Diceros bicornis minor: one gene and its partner. The protein of the gene in region 1 interacts with the protein of each later gene in a pairwise test. Links are inferred from orthologs where the notes say so. Each region holds a gene or a part of one and is shown on either strand. Other genes may lie near its edges.

What was found.
Region 2: the proteins of CERT1 (region 1) and ACTL8 interact in binary tests that used the Homo sapiens proteins (3 or more experiments, as listed by UniProt). The two-hybrid records come from large-scale screens. The link is inferred for Diceros bicornis minor from reciprocal best matches to the Homo sapiens genes CERT1 and ACTL8.

The regions. Positions count from the first base shown.
Region 1 is NC_080740.1:4,955,520-4,962,858, reverse strand, and holds the start of CERT1 (ceramide transfer protein), read left to right. Parts: upstream 1-4,209; 5' UTR 4,210-4,552; coding exon 4,553-4,648; intron 4,649-7,339. UniProt on the Homo sapiens protein: Shelters ceramides and diacylglycerol lipids inside its START domain and mediates the intracellular trafficking of ceramides and diacylglycerol lipids in a non-vesicular manner.
Region 2 is NC_080752.1:35,111,872-35,119,229, forward strand, and holds ACTL8 (actin-like protein 8), read left to right. Parts: upstream 1-4,245; coding exon 4,246-4,593; intron 4,594-6,551; coding exon 6,552-7,304; downstream 7,305-7,358.

The DNA of each region.
Region 1 (7,339 bases):
TGTGTCCCTCCAAAATTCATATTTGAAGCCCTAACTTCCAATGTGACTGTATTTGGAGATAGGGCCTGTAAAGAGGTAATTAAGGTTAAGTAAAGTCATAAGTGTGGGGTTCTTATAAGAAGAGGAAGAGGTGGGCTGGCCCTGTGGCTTAGTGGTTAAGTGCGCGCGCTCCACTACTGGTGGGATGGGTTCGGATCCCGGGCACGCATGGACGCAGCGCTTCTCCAGCCATGCTGAGGCCACGTCCCACATACAGCAACTAGAAGGATGTGCAACTATGACATACAACTATCTACTGGGGCTTTGGAGAAAAAAAGGAGGAGGACTAGCAATAGATATTAGCTCAGAGCCGGTCTTCCTCAGCAAAAGAGGAGGATTAGTATGGATGTTAGCTCAGGGCTGATCTTCCCCCCCAAAAAAAAAAAGAGGAAGCGGGACTAGAGCTACCCAGTCTGTGGTATTTTGTTATGGCAACCTGAGCTGACTAATAAAGGCTCTTTACAGCACCATTTTTAAAAATTAGACAATCTTTTCAGTTTCAATGTGGGACATCCTCTCCTGTTATAGTTACAGAATTGAGAACAAATATTTCCCCTCATTCCTCTATCTGTTAATCAGTAAAATTGCAAAGAGTCTCAGTTCCAATACCTCAGTGTTTTCTGGCTTCTGTGTTTTGCCAGTGGGAGTAGAAGGCAGGGATGAAGTCTTTGGGATTGGTGTTTAGTGGAGATAAGAGCTGGGAGAATGAGATAAGGTGGAAAACAGGGAGAAAGAGGAATTGAAGAACTCTAGTGGGATGAGAAGGCTGGAAACAGGATACTTGGGCTCAAACTACAACTATGCTTTTTACTAGCTGTATGACCTTTGGAAAGTTATTTAACTTCTCTGTGGTTCAGTTTATTCATGTGAAATATAAGAAATAGAAACAGAATAGAAATAATAAATTCTACATTGGAGTTAAATAAGACAGCATAGATCTAAGAGCTGGATAAAGGAAAGATTTTCAAAATCATTAGCTGAATTAAGAGCATAGTTGCTCTGATATACTTATCTACAGGATATATTATTTATTTACACAATTCTTCCCACTTTGAGAGGTATTCTGAAGCAAAGAAAAGGGTATGATCTCTGAAATCAGATAGGTCTGTGTTCAAATCCTAACTCTGCCACTTAGCAGCTATACAACACTGGGTAACTTAGCCTCCCTGAGCTTCAGCTGTATTATCCTTATTTTTTAACCCCCCCCCCCCAAAGCCCCAGTAGATAGTTGTATGTCACAGCTGCACATCCTTCTAGTTGCTGTATATGGGATGCGGCCTCAGCATGGCCGGAGAAGCGGTGCGTCGGTGCGCGCCCGGGATCCGAACCCGGGCCGCCAGCAGCGGAGCTCGCACACTTAACCACTAAGCCACGGGGCCGGCCCTGCAGTATCCTTAAAATGAGGCCAAACTTATATAGTTTGTAAGGAAAAAGTCAGATCAGGAATGTAAAACGCCTGACCCAGGCTAAGACTTAAAATTGTAAAGATGTCATTTTCTTTACAAATTAAGTGCATTCTCAATCCAAATCCCCATAGAATTTTTCATGCAATTTGACAAGCTGTTCTAAAATTAACCTGGAAGAGAAGATACACAAAAATATCCAAATGAAAAAGAACATTAGCAGAATTTTGCTATTATATATATGAAAAGAGTGTAAAGTCAAGTAATTAAATCAGTATGGTATTAGCATAGGTAGACAAATAGATCAATGAAAAAGAATGGAGTCCAGAAACAGACCTGCATATCACATAGATATAAGGGTAAGAACAGACTATTCAATGAAGTGTTGGGCCAAGTGGCTGTCCTCAAGTAACAATTAAATTCCTACCTCATTCCATATACAAAAATAAATCCCAGGTGGGTTCAAGTTCTAAAAGTAAAAAAAAAAAATTACTAAAAGAGAAAATACAGAACATTCATAAGAGGGTTGGGGGAAGCTCTAAGTAAGAGAGAAATCTCAGAAGGTATCCCTCTCACCAGAGAACAGAAAGCAAGCTCACGTTATTTTATTCTTGTACTGCAATTTCTTCCCTTCAACAGAAATGAAGAGAATCCCAACCTCTAATGTGGTATTCTAATCAGTATACAAAAATCCTTCTGTACTTAAAAAAAATTTTTTAATAATCTTATAAGTATAGAGGAACAACGTGGCAAAAATCTTTTTTAAAAAGGAAATTTTCTCTCATATTAATATTAAATACAATGAAACAATTTCCTACTGAGTAAGTGGGCACCTTAGTGAGCTACGTGTTGGTGGTTACAACCACACACAACTTAGAAATGCACACAACAGAAAGTCCAATTTAAAAATAAACATATACTATGCTCCCACGATTCTAAACTGCATTATGAAGTGGATATCTCAACAATTCACAACCATTTATTAAGACTAATGACATTTTAAAACTTAGAGCTTAAAAGATCCAGAAATAGGAAGTCTAACTATATTAGGTAATCGGAAGGCAAAACAAAACTTAATTGCTTCAGTATTCATCATTCTAAAGGTATAATTTAGTAACTCAATAAAGAGGAAAAGATGTGCTGTGGATTTTCTTTTTTGTCTTTTGAATGACAACCTTGGGATTATGTTTTAATTAACATGTTAATACAGTATTTTCAAAAGCTTTATCTCAAGGTTTTATTCACCTGAATGGCTTTCAATTATTATCCCTTGATTTCACAATGGACAAAATTTGTAACTTATTTACATAGATTCAGCATCTATAAGTGTCAATCTAGGGGACTGAAAGATACCTTAGATATTTCTCAGAGGCACTTCCCATCATTCCGTTTTTTGCTAAAGATCCCAGTTAAATTGGCCACTATCGCTACCAGAGTTACTTCTGGCCACTGTGCCTTTTCCCCTAGGCTCGTAATTTCACTGCTATCCTCTCGTCCCTGCAGTAAGCAGGTATTCTTTCTAAGGTTTAACCAGGAATTTTACTGTTGGTAATGATTAGGAAATTAACAAGATGTAAAAATAGCAAACGAGAGAAAAGAACTGAAGCTACATAGCTCAAGATCTCACAATAAAAGTTATCCTTAAACGTATGCAAAACGACTAGACGAGACGTTAGTTCTTTTACTGGTCCTTCCACTAATTCTGGTCTTAAAACAAAGCCAGCCTCCTATTGCCTAATCCCTCCATATGCAATACGACTACTGCACTTGGATCTTTCCTACACAAGAGAGTTTCTATTCCAACCTTTCCTGTCTTTCAGAGAGAGGCGGGTCGGTAGAGATGGTTAACCTGGGGCTCAGGAAGATCCTCACCCACAACTCAGAGAAAACTCCAGGCTATCATCTCACATTCTCATTTTACTTTAAAAGCTCCTCAAGCGTCATTTATTCTCAGACATCTTCAAAATGACTTTCCACAAAACAAAAACCGAAAATCTAACAACGAGAAGGGCTTGCTCTGGTGCGACGGGACTGAGCATGCTTCCTTCAAAAGCGGGAAACGTCAAGCGTGAAGACTCACTTCCAAAGAGCAAGGTGCAAGCCCTCCGAAATTGGCAGAGGAGTTTGGGCGGAAAGGAACTCCCGTGTCACCAGAGAGGTGGCAAACCCCTGGCCCGCGGCCGAGGCGGATGCGCCGGGTACACTCCCGCCTGGGCGAGCGGGAAGATGCTCCCGGGCTTTCGGGAAGCCGTCATGGAGGCAGGCCCGCCATCCTCAGCGGAGAGTTACCACGTCCGGGCCCGCAAGCCCAGGGGGTTCGTCACAAAGAGGCTCGGCAGAGATAAAAGCGCGGCCGAGGGGACGGGTCACGCAACTGTCACACGAAGCCCAGCCACTGCTTGACCGCCCCCAACGCGACAAGCCTTCCCGGCGCGGAGCACTCACCCGTTGCCTCAGGATCGCGACTACAACTCCCGGGAGGCCGCGCGGCCGACGGAGCAGCGACCTTCCCAAAATGCAGCGCGGCGGCGTCCCCGTCCCTCCTCCTCCTCCTCTCTCCGCTCCTCCCCCTCGTCTAGCCGCGTCACCCGGGAGGGCCGGAGGCAGGCGCGGGCGGAGATCCCGAGCCTCGGCGTGCCGCGTCAGACGTCGGGAGGGGCCGGGGCGGGGCCCGGGGGAGAGGGGAGGGCAGAGCGGAGGGGAGGGTAAATAGTGGGCCAGGCAGGAAGATGGCGGCGTAGCGGAGGTCTGAGTGGCCTCGGGTCTGCGGCTGGATTTCCTCGTCCGTCTTCCTCCCGTGTTTTTCTGGCTGAGCTTGGCATCGAGGGGGCTGAGTTCGGGCGGCCGCGCCGGGCGCACCGCGGGGGTCACGGCGGCGGCGGCGGCTGACGGCTGGAAGGGCGGGCTTCCCTCGCCGCGCGTCCTCCTTCCCCGGTCCGCTCGGTGTCAGGCGCGGCGGGCGGACTTCGTCCCTCCTGCCGCTCCCCCCCGCGCCGGAGCGCGCTCCCCTGCCTTCGCCATCCCCCGACCCTTCACCCCGGGCACTGGGCGCCTCCTCCGGCGCAGCGCAGGGAGCGGGGGCCGGGCTCCTGCTCGGCTGTCGCGCCTCCATGTCGGATAACCAGAGCTGGAACTCGTCGGGCTCGGAGGAGGACCCGGAGACGGAGTCCAGGCTGCCGGTGGAGCGCTGCGGGGTCCTCAGTAAGGTGAGCACCCCGGCGGCCAAGGGCCCGCGGCCCGGACTCACCTGCCGCCAGGGAGCCGGGCCGCTGAGGGCGTGGGCTGGGGCTGGGCGAGAGGCGCGGGCCGTCCGGGCGGGGGCTGCGGAATGTGCCGGGGTGCGGAGCGGAGGGCCGCCGCGGCCGGGCCCGGGCCAGGGGGCCGTGGGGTGCGGGGGAAGGGGACTGTCGTCCTCGCCTGCCCTAGCTCGGCGGCCGAGCACCGGGGAAGACGTGTCCCAGCCCCGGCTCCAGTTTGGGAACGAGATGCGACCGCGACTTGGGACTCAGGGCGGCAGCTGTCCCGGGTGTAGGAATCCAGGACGGACAAGAGCGGTGTCTGAACAGCTGGGTATGGGAGTGATGCCAGTCGGACCTCAAACGGGGGTAGCCGGGAGATGCCGAACAGAGGGAGGTTGAGGGTTCTACGGCCGCGGCTGTTAAGACAGAAGCAGGAGCAGCCCGGCTTGGTGCTGAAATCGGAGGTGGTGAACTGTGCCAGGTTAGATGGGGTGAGACATCTCACTGAGGAGGACCTGTGTACTTTTCCCCTCATCCTTGACCCCAGTTCAGAAAAGAACTGTTGAATCAGCACATGATAGGTACAAGAAATATTCATAGTGACTTGGAACATGTCAGAAGGAGACCGACCTTTAGTCGAGGAAGAAGAGCGTTATTTAGTATTAATTTTAGTTAAAATATTCTTGCAGTCAGAGGACCAGCGTAAGGAAAAGACATCTTATTTTGCTGTATTTTTTAAAACTCCCTTTTTCAAAATTTTAGCAATGCAGATAGTCACTTGTAGGACTTGAAGGCTAAGTTAAAATAGATGAGGCCTTTTTTAAGGGAGAAAGTGGGTGATCTTTTATTTTTCTGGGGCAGTTTTTTGGTTTTGGGTTTTTTTTTTTTTTTTTAAGTTTTTGCTATCAGAAGGTTCACATTGTCTTTTTTACTTCCTTCTCCCTTCCTGTTAAACTTTTAGAAATGGTTGGAGCTAGCATTTAACTTGGAGAGGGGGAGCTGCGGCCAGTCCTTCAACAAGCTGGTTGGTCATAAGATACTAGGTCATGTGCAGCTACTGGCTATTAAGAAATCACCCTGTTCCCAGTATACGTGCGTTGGCTAGGCATTTGGTCATCGTTTGTGGAATTGTTTCATATTAGGCGTTATATTGTCTTCAGAAGGCTGGTGAGAAAGAGCCTAAGAAAGGCGAGAGATGTCAGAACTAAGGCTTGCAAGTGCTAACTTTTATTTGTATAGCAGAAAAATTACTATGTGTGTTGGTATTGTGATCATTATTGGAATTTCCATGAAAAGTTTTCAGTAAAGTGAAGTTCCCTAGGATTTCTTTAGATTAAATATATCTTGTAATTTAGAAATCTGTATTGAACGCATTGTGTAATATAGGTATGCATTTTCAGATGGAATTGTTTTGTAATGGGTTCTTTGCTTCTCAGTGATTCTGGTAGTTTCATCACTTTTCTCAATAAATGAAAAGCAGACTTCCAAATTAGTATTGTGGTGACGTTAAATATTTTACAAAACAAGCTGTACATTTGACCTGTTGACCATCAGTTTTGGGGGAGTGGGGGGAGGATTGGAGTGACTGGTGGAAAGAGCACTGGTGCTCTGAGTATTCACTGTGTGCAGAGCAGTGTAGTAGGTATATTGTATGACAAAAAGTGGAAGACTGTCTCCTTGATATTTAAATGCACAAAAATGTAGTATTTGGCCACTTTTATGGTAGGTAAGTAATTTCAATGTTGCTGCATATGTAGAAGCAACAGGAATATAGGTTTTGGTATTATTCTTGTTAATCGCTATGAAGGAAATTTCCCTGAAATTTAACAATTTAGGGTTATATATAGTGTTTCCTGGAAGCTTTTTAATCAAGAGTATTTTATATTGAATACGTGTTTTTAAATTTAAAGTACATATATATTTTGAGGAGGGAGTAAACTTCTATTAGAAATATACCAGTGTAGGGGCCGGCCCCGTGGCTTGGCGGTTAAGTGCGCGTGCTCCGCTACTGGCAGCCCGGGTTCGGATCCCGGGCGCACACCGACGCACCGCTTCTCCGGCCATGCTGAGGCTGCGTCCCACATACAGCAACTAGAAGGATGTGCAACTATGACATACACCTGTCTACTGGGGCTTTGGGGGAAAAAAGGAAGAGGATTGGCAATAGATGTTAGCTCAGGGCCGGTCTTCCTCAGCAAAAAGAGGAGGATTGGCATGGATGTTAGCTCAGGGCTGACCTTCCTCACAAAAAAAAAAAAAGAAGAAATATACCAGTCCAGGGACCAGCTGGGTGGCGTGGTGGTTAAGTTCACGCATTCTGCTTTGGCTGCGGCCCAGGGGTTCGCCGGTTCAGATCCTGGGTGTGGACCTACGCACTGCTCATCAAGCCATCCTGAGGCGGCGTCCCACATAGAGCCACTAGAAGGATGTACAGCTATGACATACAACTATCTACTGGAGCTTTGGGGGGAAAAAAGGAGGAAGATTGGCAACATATGTTAGCTCAGGGCTAATCTTCCTCAAAAAAACAAATAAATAAAATTTTTTAAAAAAGAAATACAGCAGTCTAAGGTTTTTTCCATATGGTAATCCAAAATACATGGAATTACTTCTGAAACATATTTTCTATAGAATTGCTTCTTAAGCACATAGGTTTCA
Region 2 (7,358 bases), on another chromosome or scaffold:
AAACTCTTGGCGTCGTCCTTCCTTCCTCATCTCATCTCCTACATCGTTGTATCAGTCTGTCTTTAACACATGCAGATTCTGACCACCTCTCATCCTCTTCACTGCTACCGCCTTAGGCACCTTAGTGCAGGCCACCGTCATCTCTCACGTCCTTCCTTTCCATCTCCTGCCCCTTCTCTTGCCCTTTACACTCTATTCTTCATATCGGCCCAAGTGGTCCTTTTATAACTCAAGTCAGAGCATGTCATTCCTCTGTTCAGACCCCCAGTGGTTTCCCACGTGTCTAAGCACAATACAAAGGCCTGCGAGACCCACCCGAGATCTTCAACACCCTTCCCCTCGCCCACTACATCTCCACTATACTGGCCTCCTGCCTGTTCCTAGAGCACATCTAGCAGCTTCTTCCTCGGGGCCTTTGCACTTGCTGTTCCTTTGGCTTGGAATGCTTTTCCATGTAATCATATGCCTTATTCTCTCACTCCGTTCAGTTCTCTACTCAAATGTCACCTTATAGAGAGGACTTTTCTGATTTCCCTATTTAGGATAACATCGTTCCTCTGTGTCCCTTATAATCCCTGTTCTTCTTATCAGGTTTTCTTTTTCTTCGTTGTACTAACCCTCGCTGGTGTGACACATTTGATCTGGTGCTTACTGACAGTCTTTCTCAGTAGAATGTAAGCTCTGGGAGGGCAGGAACTATGTTAGTCTAGAATGGTTTTTGGTACATAGTGGGTGCTCAGTAAGGATTTGTAGAATAGGTAACTCAGTAAAAATACTTTTGAATATGTAGATTTTATCTCTATCCTTGGAGCTGGCTCTTGGAGCCATCCAACTTTCTTCCTACAGTCATAGTCCAGGGGAGGAATGGCCCCCTTCCCCCGACCCTCGTGCTCCCAGGCCAGGTCAGTTGGTCTCCAGGCTGGAGTCCCCCTCAGTGGACATCCTGATCGACAGCCACAGTGGACATCACCCTCCAATGTCTCCTGTGATTCCAAATGCCAGGGCCAAGGAAGCACTTATCAGTCACCCTGCTCTTGCGACGGGGAGGTCCGTGGCAGAGCCCGCTTCCCAGAATGTCAAGTAGGCCCTGGTTCTCCATCACTCTGGGTGATTGAGTGTGAGGAATCCATTACTCAGCCTGCCAGCAGGCGAGAAAGGAGACCAGCGCCTCAACTGCATTTCTTTCTTTTTTGCCCTCCCCCATCTGATGTCAGAGCTAATTAGAGGCAGTGAAGCCTAATCAGTGCCCCAAGGCTGGTGACGATGGGGAGCCACTGGCTAGGGCCAGCCCCAGAATGCAGCCATCGGCTGAGTGGCCTCCCTGGATGTCTGTCTTACAGAAAATACCCACGTGCATTCAAGGCACCAAGTCTGCTGTTTGTGTGACAATTTGTATTCTACAAGGCGATTTCATAAACCCTCCATTTGTCCCCGTGCCCACTGGGTTTTTCCCTTAAAATTTTTTTACTTAGAGTAAAAGTCATTCTTTTTAGCGTATAATTGCAAGAGTTTTGACAAATGCATACAGTTATATACCCACTTCCACAATCCAGATATAGCACAGTTCTATCGTCACCCCCAAATTCTACTAAGATCTTTTGTGGTCAACCCCTCTCTCCACCTCCGGTGCTGGCAGCCACCGATCTGTTTTCTGTCCTTACAGTTGTGCCTTTTCCAGGATGTCATATGAGTAGAGTCATACAGTATGTAGCCTTTTGGGTCTGGCTTTTTTTCACTCAGCTTAATACATTTGAGATTTATTCATGTTATTGGGTGTATCAGTTACTTGTTGCTTTTTATTGCTGAGTATTATTCCATTGAATGGAGATTTCTTTTTCCATTCCCCAGTTGAAGGATATTTAGATAGTTTCAAGTTTTTGGTGATTATGAATAAAGCTACCATAAACATGTGCGTAAAGGTTTTTGTGTGAACGTAAGCTTTTGTTTCCCTTGGGTGAATAAACTAGGAGTAGAAATACTAGGTTGAATGGTAGGTATAAATTTAACTTTTTAAGAAGCTTCCAGACTGTTTTCCAAAGTGGTTGTGCTCTTTCACATTCCCCAGCAGTGTCTGAAGGTTTCAGTTCCTCTGCCTCGTCAGCACTTGGTATAGCCAGCTTTTATCTTTAGCCATTCTCATAGGTATGTAGTGGTATCTTCTTGTGGTTTTAATTTCCATTTTCCTAATTACTAATGATGTTGAGCATCTTTTCATGTGTTTATTTGCCGTCCATCTATCTTCTTTTGTGAAATGTTTAAATCTTTTGCTCATTTAAAAAAAATTAGGTTGTTTTTCTTATTATTGGGTTTTGTGAATTCTTTATATTTTTTGAATACAAGGTCTTTATCAGATATATGATTTATAAATATTTCCTCCCAGTCTATGGCTTGTCTTTTTATTCTCTTAACAGCATCTTTTGAAGAGCAAAAGTTCTTAAATTTGACGACGTCCAGTTTATCAATTTGTTCTTGGGCCGGCCCCATGGCTTAGTGGTTAAGTGCACACGCTCTGCTACTGGCGGCCCGGGTTCGGATCCCGGGCGCGCACCGACCCACTACTTGTCTGGCCATGCTGAGGCCGCATCCCACGTACAGCAACTAGAAGGATGTGCAACTATGACATATAACTATCTACTGGGGCTTTGGGGGAAAAAATAAGGAGGAGGATTGGCAATAGATGTTAGCTCAGAGCTGGTCTTCCTCAGCAAAAAAAAAAGAGGAGGATTAGCATGGATGTTAGCTCAGGGCTGATCTTCCTCACAAAAAAAAAAAAAATTGTTCTCTTATGGATCAGGCTATTGAAGTTATATCTAAGAAAACTTTACCTTACCTCAGGTCACAAAGATTTTCTCCTATGTTATTTTAAAAAAAGTTTTATAGTTTTAGGTTTTACATGTAGGTCTATGATCCATTTTGAGTTGGTTTTTTGTAAGGTGTGATGTTGTATTAAGGTTAATTTTTTTGCATATGGACATCCAGTTGTTTCCTATCATTTATTGTAAAGACTCATCTTCCTCAATTTAATTGTTTTTGCACCTTGTCAAAGATCAGGCGACCTTTTTAGTGTGGGTCTATTTCTGGACTCTCTGTTCTGTCCCATGGGTCTACGTGACTATCCTTTCACCAATACCACATTGTCTCGGCTTCTGTAGTTTTACAGTAAGTCTGGAAACCAGGCAGTGACCACACCATTTTTTTAGCGTGGCAGTTATCATTCCCCAGCTTTACAGATAAGGAAACTGACCATCGTGCTTAGATGTCCTGCTTACAGCCTCCCTTATATAAGACGTTAGCTGCTCAGCTCATACTCGAAACCCACGTCTTCATGCCTCGCCTGATGCTCAGAGTGTGGCCTTTGGAGTCTAGTTCGGGTTTAACTCTCAGCCCTGCTTTTACTCATGTGTGGCCCTGAGAAAGCAACTTTACCCCCTTGTGCCTCAGTTTCCCTTTCTGTAAAATGCGTGTAACAATGGTAGCTGTCTTAAGATTGCTTTAAAGATTGAGTCCAGTATCGGGTCAAACCACATGAAATTGCTGGTGTTTGATCCTTTTTGACTGACACAAATGGCAATTTTACATAGTTCAACCTAATATGCAAATGTTCCTGATAGTACTAAATGGCGGGTGTGTACTCCAGGAATGGTAGCTGTAGCTGTCGTCATTATCGTCATTGTCGTTGTCATCGTCACTATTATTCCTACTACTCCTGCTGCTGTGGCTGCTGCACTGTTGCTGTTGAGCGCGGCGGCCCTGAGGCTGATGATTCGCCTTCTGTGTGTCCTTGAGTCAGGCAGCCAACGTCCACCAAGCACTTCCTGCATGACAAGCTTCTTGCCGAGTCTGCAAAGAGTAACAGGGCCCAACCTCTGCTCCTGTGGAGTGGAAGTGCCCGCCTGGTGTAGTAGAGGAGTGTGCAAAGTGCCACGAGAGAAGCTTGGTGGGAAGGAGGGGTTGGCAGGACTTTCCAGAGGGGGCCCATTAGGTGGGCCTTGTAGGACGATTGGGAGTCTGGGACGGGAAGAACATTCCAGGAGCAGGTTACAGCTTGTGTAAAGTCTTGGAAGGGGGAACAGATAGGCTTCAAGGGAGCCTGGGGTTTGACTCTGGGGTGGAGAGTGGGAAGCAGCCCACGGGGGCCTAGAATGGGTTCACAACCCCCATCCTTTCCCTCCATAGGTGGCCCTAGTCTGTCAAACATCTTTGAGGAGCCAAGTCCGGAAGGCCTCTCCCTCCTCTGCCTCTGCCATGGCCGCGAGAACCATTATCATCGACCACGGGTCTGGCTTTCTGAAGGCTGGCCTGTCCGGGTGGAATGAGCCCCAGATGGTCTTCCCGAGCGTTGTGAACTACATTCCGTGCAGGGAGAACCCCGGCCCCAGCTACGCCCGAAGACGCGTGAGTCTGGGCATCGACATTTACCATCCTGACACCTTCAGCTACCCCGTCCAGCGTGGCCGTGTCCTCAACTGGGAGGGCGTGGAGCACATCTGGTCCTTCGTCCTGGAGACACATAGACGGGAGCACGAGGACTCCCCTGTGATAGTCACAGAGTCCCCCCTGAGGGAGCCTGTGGACCGACAGAAGACCCTGGAGGTAAGGCCTTCTCGGGGCTGCCCTTACTGGGGAGAGGGGAGCAGCCTGGCACTATGTGTTCAGACATGACTGGGCATTAGGAACTCTGCTTTCTAAGTAATTTGCCCCACAGATGTTTACTGAGTACTTAGTGTGTGCCCAGCACTGTGCTGGGCAAGAGGGGGCTCCTCCTGCAGGTAGAGACGCAGCAGGTAAAATACTCTGTGGAAAGGGTGCTTCTGGGAGAGACACCTGGTATTCGTTCATGGATTCCATAAATGTTCACAGATCATGTTCTAGCCCTTAAAGAGCTTATGTTATGGGGGAAGACTTGACCATGAATAAGTTAACAAGTAAAAATCCAGAGAGCGATTAGTTCTAAAAGCAAAATGAAATGGGGTGATAGCTGGCTGGTGGGGATAGAGGGAACCCCTTCGAAGAGGGTAATGAGGGAGAGCTTCTCTAAGGAGATGATTTCAGCCAATGAGGCTGGAGCCCAGCGAACTAAGGAAGGTGGCAGGAGGGACACAGGAAGATGAAGTCAGCAGGGGACAGACCTTCCAGTCCTGGTGGGCTGTGGGAAACACTTGGATTTTACCCTAAATCAAGGGTTGGCAAACTACAGCCAGTGGGCCAAGTTTGGCCCACCATCTGATTTTATAAATAAAGTTTTATTGGAACATAGCCACGCCCACTCATTTACATATCGTCTGTGGCTGCTTTCACACTGCAGCAGCAGAGTTGAGTAGTTGTGAGAGAGACTGTATAGGTTTGTAAAGCCTAAAATATTTATTACTGTAGGTTTGCTAGATAAAATATGTGATACCGAGTTAGATTTGAATTTCAGATAAACAGCAAATAATGTTTTAGTGTAAGTATGTCTCGAATATCGAATATTGCATGGGACATACTTACACTAAAACATTATTTGCTGTTTATCTGAAAGCCAGATTTAACTGGGCAGCCTATATTTCTATTTGCTGAATCTGGCGATCCTGTCTAGCCCTTTACAGAAAATGTTTGCCAACCCCTGCTCTAAATGAATAGAAACCTGCTGGAGAGTTTTAAGTGGGGGAGTCATATTTGATTTTCTATTTGAAAGGGAGGACCTTGGCTTCTATTAGGGAACTGGATGGTGGAGGGGCAATATTCTGAGCATGGGAACCGAGGCAGCTCCCTCCCGCTCAGGGCAGAAGATGGGCCTGCCGGGGCCTAAAGAGGGAGGTGAGTCTCCAAAGGCTGTAGCAGGAGGGACAGTTGCTGCGTTTCTTCATCTATAGCATCAGAAACTTGAGGATGTAGCCAGAGCCGGGGAACTGGGGAGGCGGTGGGGGTGCTCTGTAAAGATCTAGGGGGTGACGGGCGTGGGGGGTAAATCAGCCTAGGGACTTGGCCAAACCCTAAATATTAGAATTCTAGTTTTGTCTTGATGTTTGAAAAGTTTTTATTCTAAAAAAACTAAGGCTTCACCTACCAGGAGGTGGGCGTATGTTTTCTTTTTCTTTGTACTCCTCCATTTGGGAGGCAGTGGCGAAGATGCTGCACTTGTTGCTTATTTCTTCTTCCCTCTTCCAAAGAAATGGTTCAGCCGGCACATCTGCCTCCTGGCTGTGCTCCCCCTCCAGTCCCCCCACTGCTCGCAGAGCCCGGCATCTCAGCCCATTTCCTGCAGCTGATGGCTCTTCCCACCCCTCCACCATGTGGAGTGCTGAAAACCCCACATGAAACCAGCCCCTGAGGGCAAATCTGCCTCTTTCTAACCCTCTAGAGCCCATCCCTTATTCCCACAGCATGAGCTCCAGGGGTCCTGGGACCAATGTCCTGGGGCAGCCCCCCAGTCCCTCGAGGACGCAGTTCTGTGCTGATTTCAGTTTTGGGAGCTGAGCCCCCAGCACGGTCTTGGGGAAAACAGAAATGAATCAGGGCCCTTGGTTTGGAGAAAACACCCTGAGTGTGTCAGTCTTCTCCCCTTCTTGCAGATTATGTTTGAGTTACTGGATGTCCGGTCCATACTCCTGGCCGACCAGCTGGAGATGTCCCTGTACGCCTCTGGCCTGCTGACCGGCGTGGTGGTTGATTCTGGTTACGGCCTGACCCGCGTGCAGCCTTTCCATCTGGGCCACCCCTTACAGCCCAGTGGTAAGACGCTGGAGTTCGCGGGCCAGGATCTCTCCGCCTACCTCTTCAAGAGCCTCTTTAAGGAAGATAGCAACCAACACAACTTGTTTCAGCTGGACACGGTCACCAACACTCAGATGAACAAGTGCTACGTGCCGCAGAATCTGGGGGAGGCGCTGGACTTCCGTCAGAGCCTGCCCAATGGCTCAGATGAGAACAACACCTATCAGCTCCCGGATGGCACCCCCGTGGAGCTGACCCCCATGCAGCGGCTGGCTCCCGAGATGTTCTTCAGCCCCCAGGTGTTCGACCTGGAGGGGCCCAGCATCTCTCAGGCTGTCTTGGATTCCATCCAGACCTGCGAAGCCTCTCTGCACCCACTGCTCATCTCCCACGTGGTGGCCTGCGGGGGGAACACCCTCTATCCGGGCTTCACGAAGCGCCTGTACAAGGAGCTGATCGAACATCATTTCTGCTCCACCAAGACCACCGTATGGGTGGGTTCCAACAGAAACTTTAGTGTCTGGTTAGGAGCATCTGTTGTGGCTCATCTGTCTACCTACAAGTCTGAGTGGATGACCAAAGAGGAGTATGAAGAGAGTCTGAGGCTGTGACCTGTTGGCTGGCTTCTGGGCCCTGCTCCTGTCAGATAGGCTTGGGTGGATTAA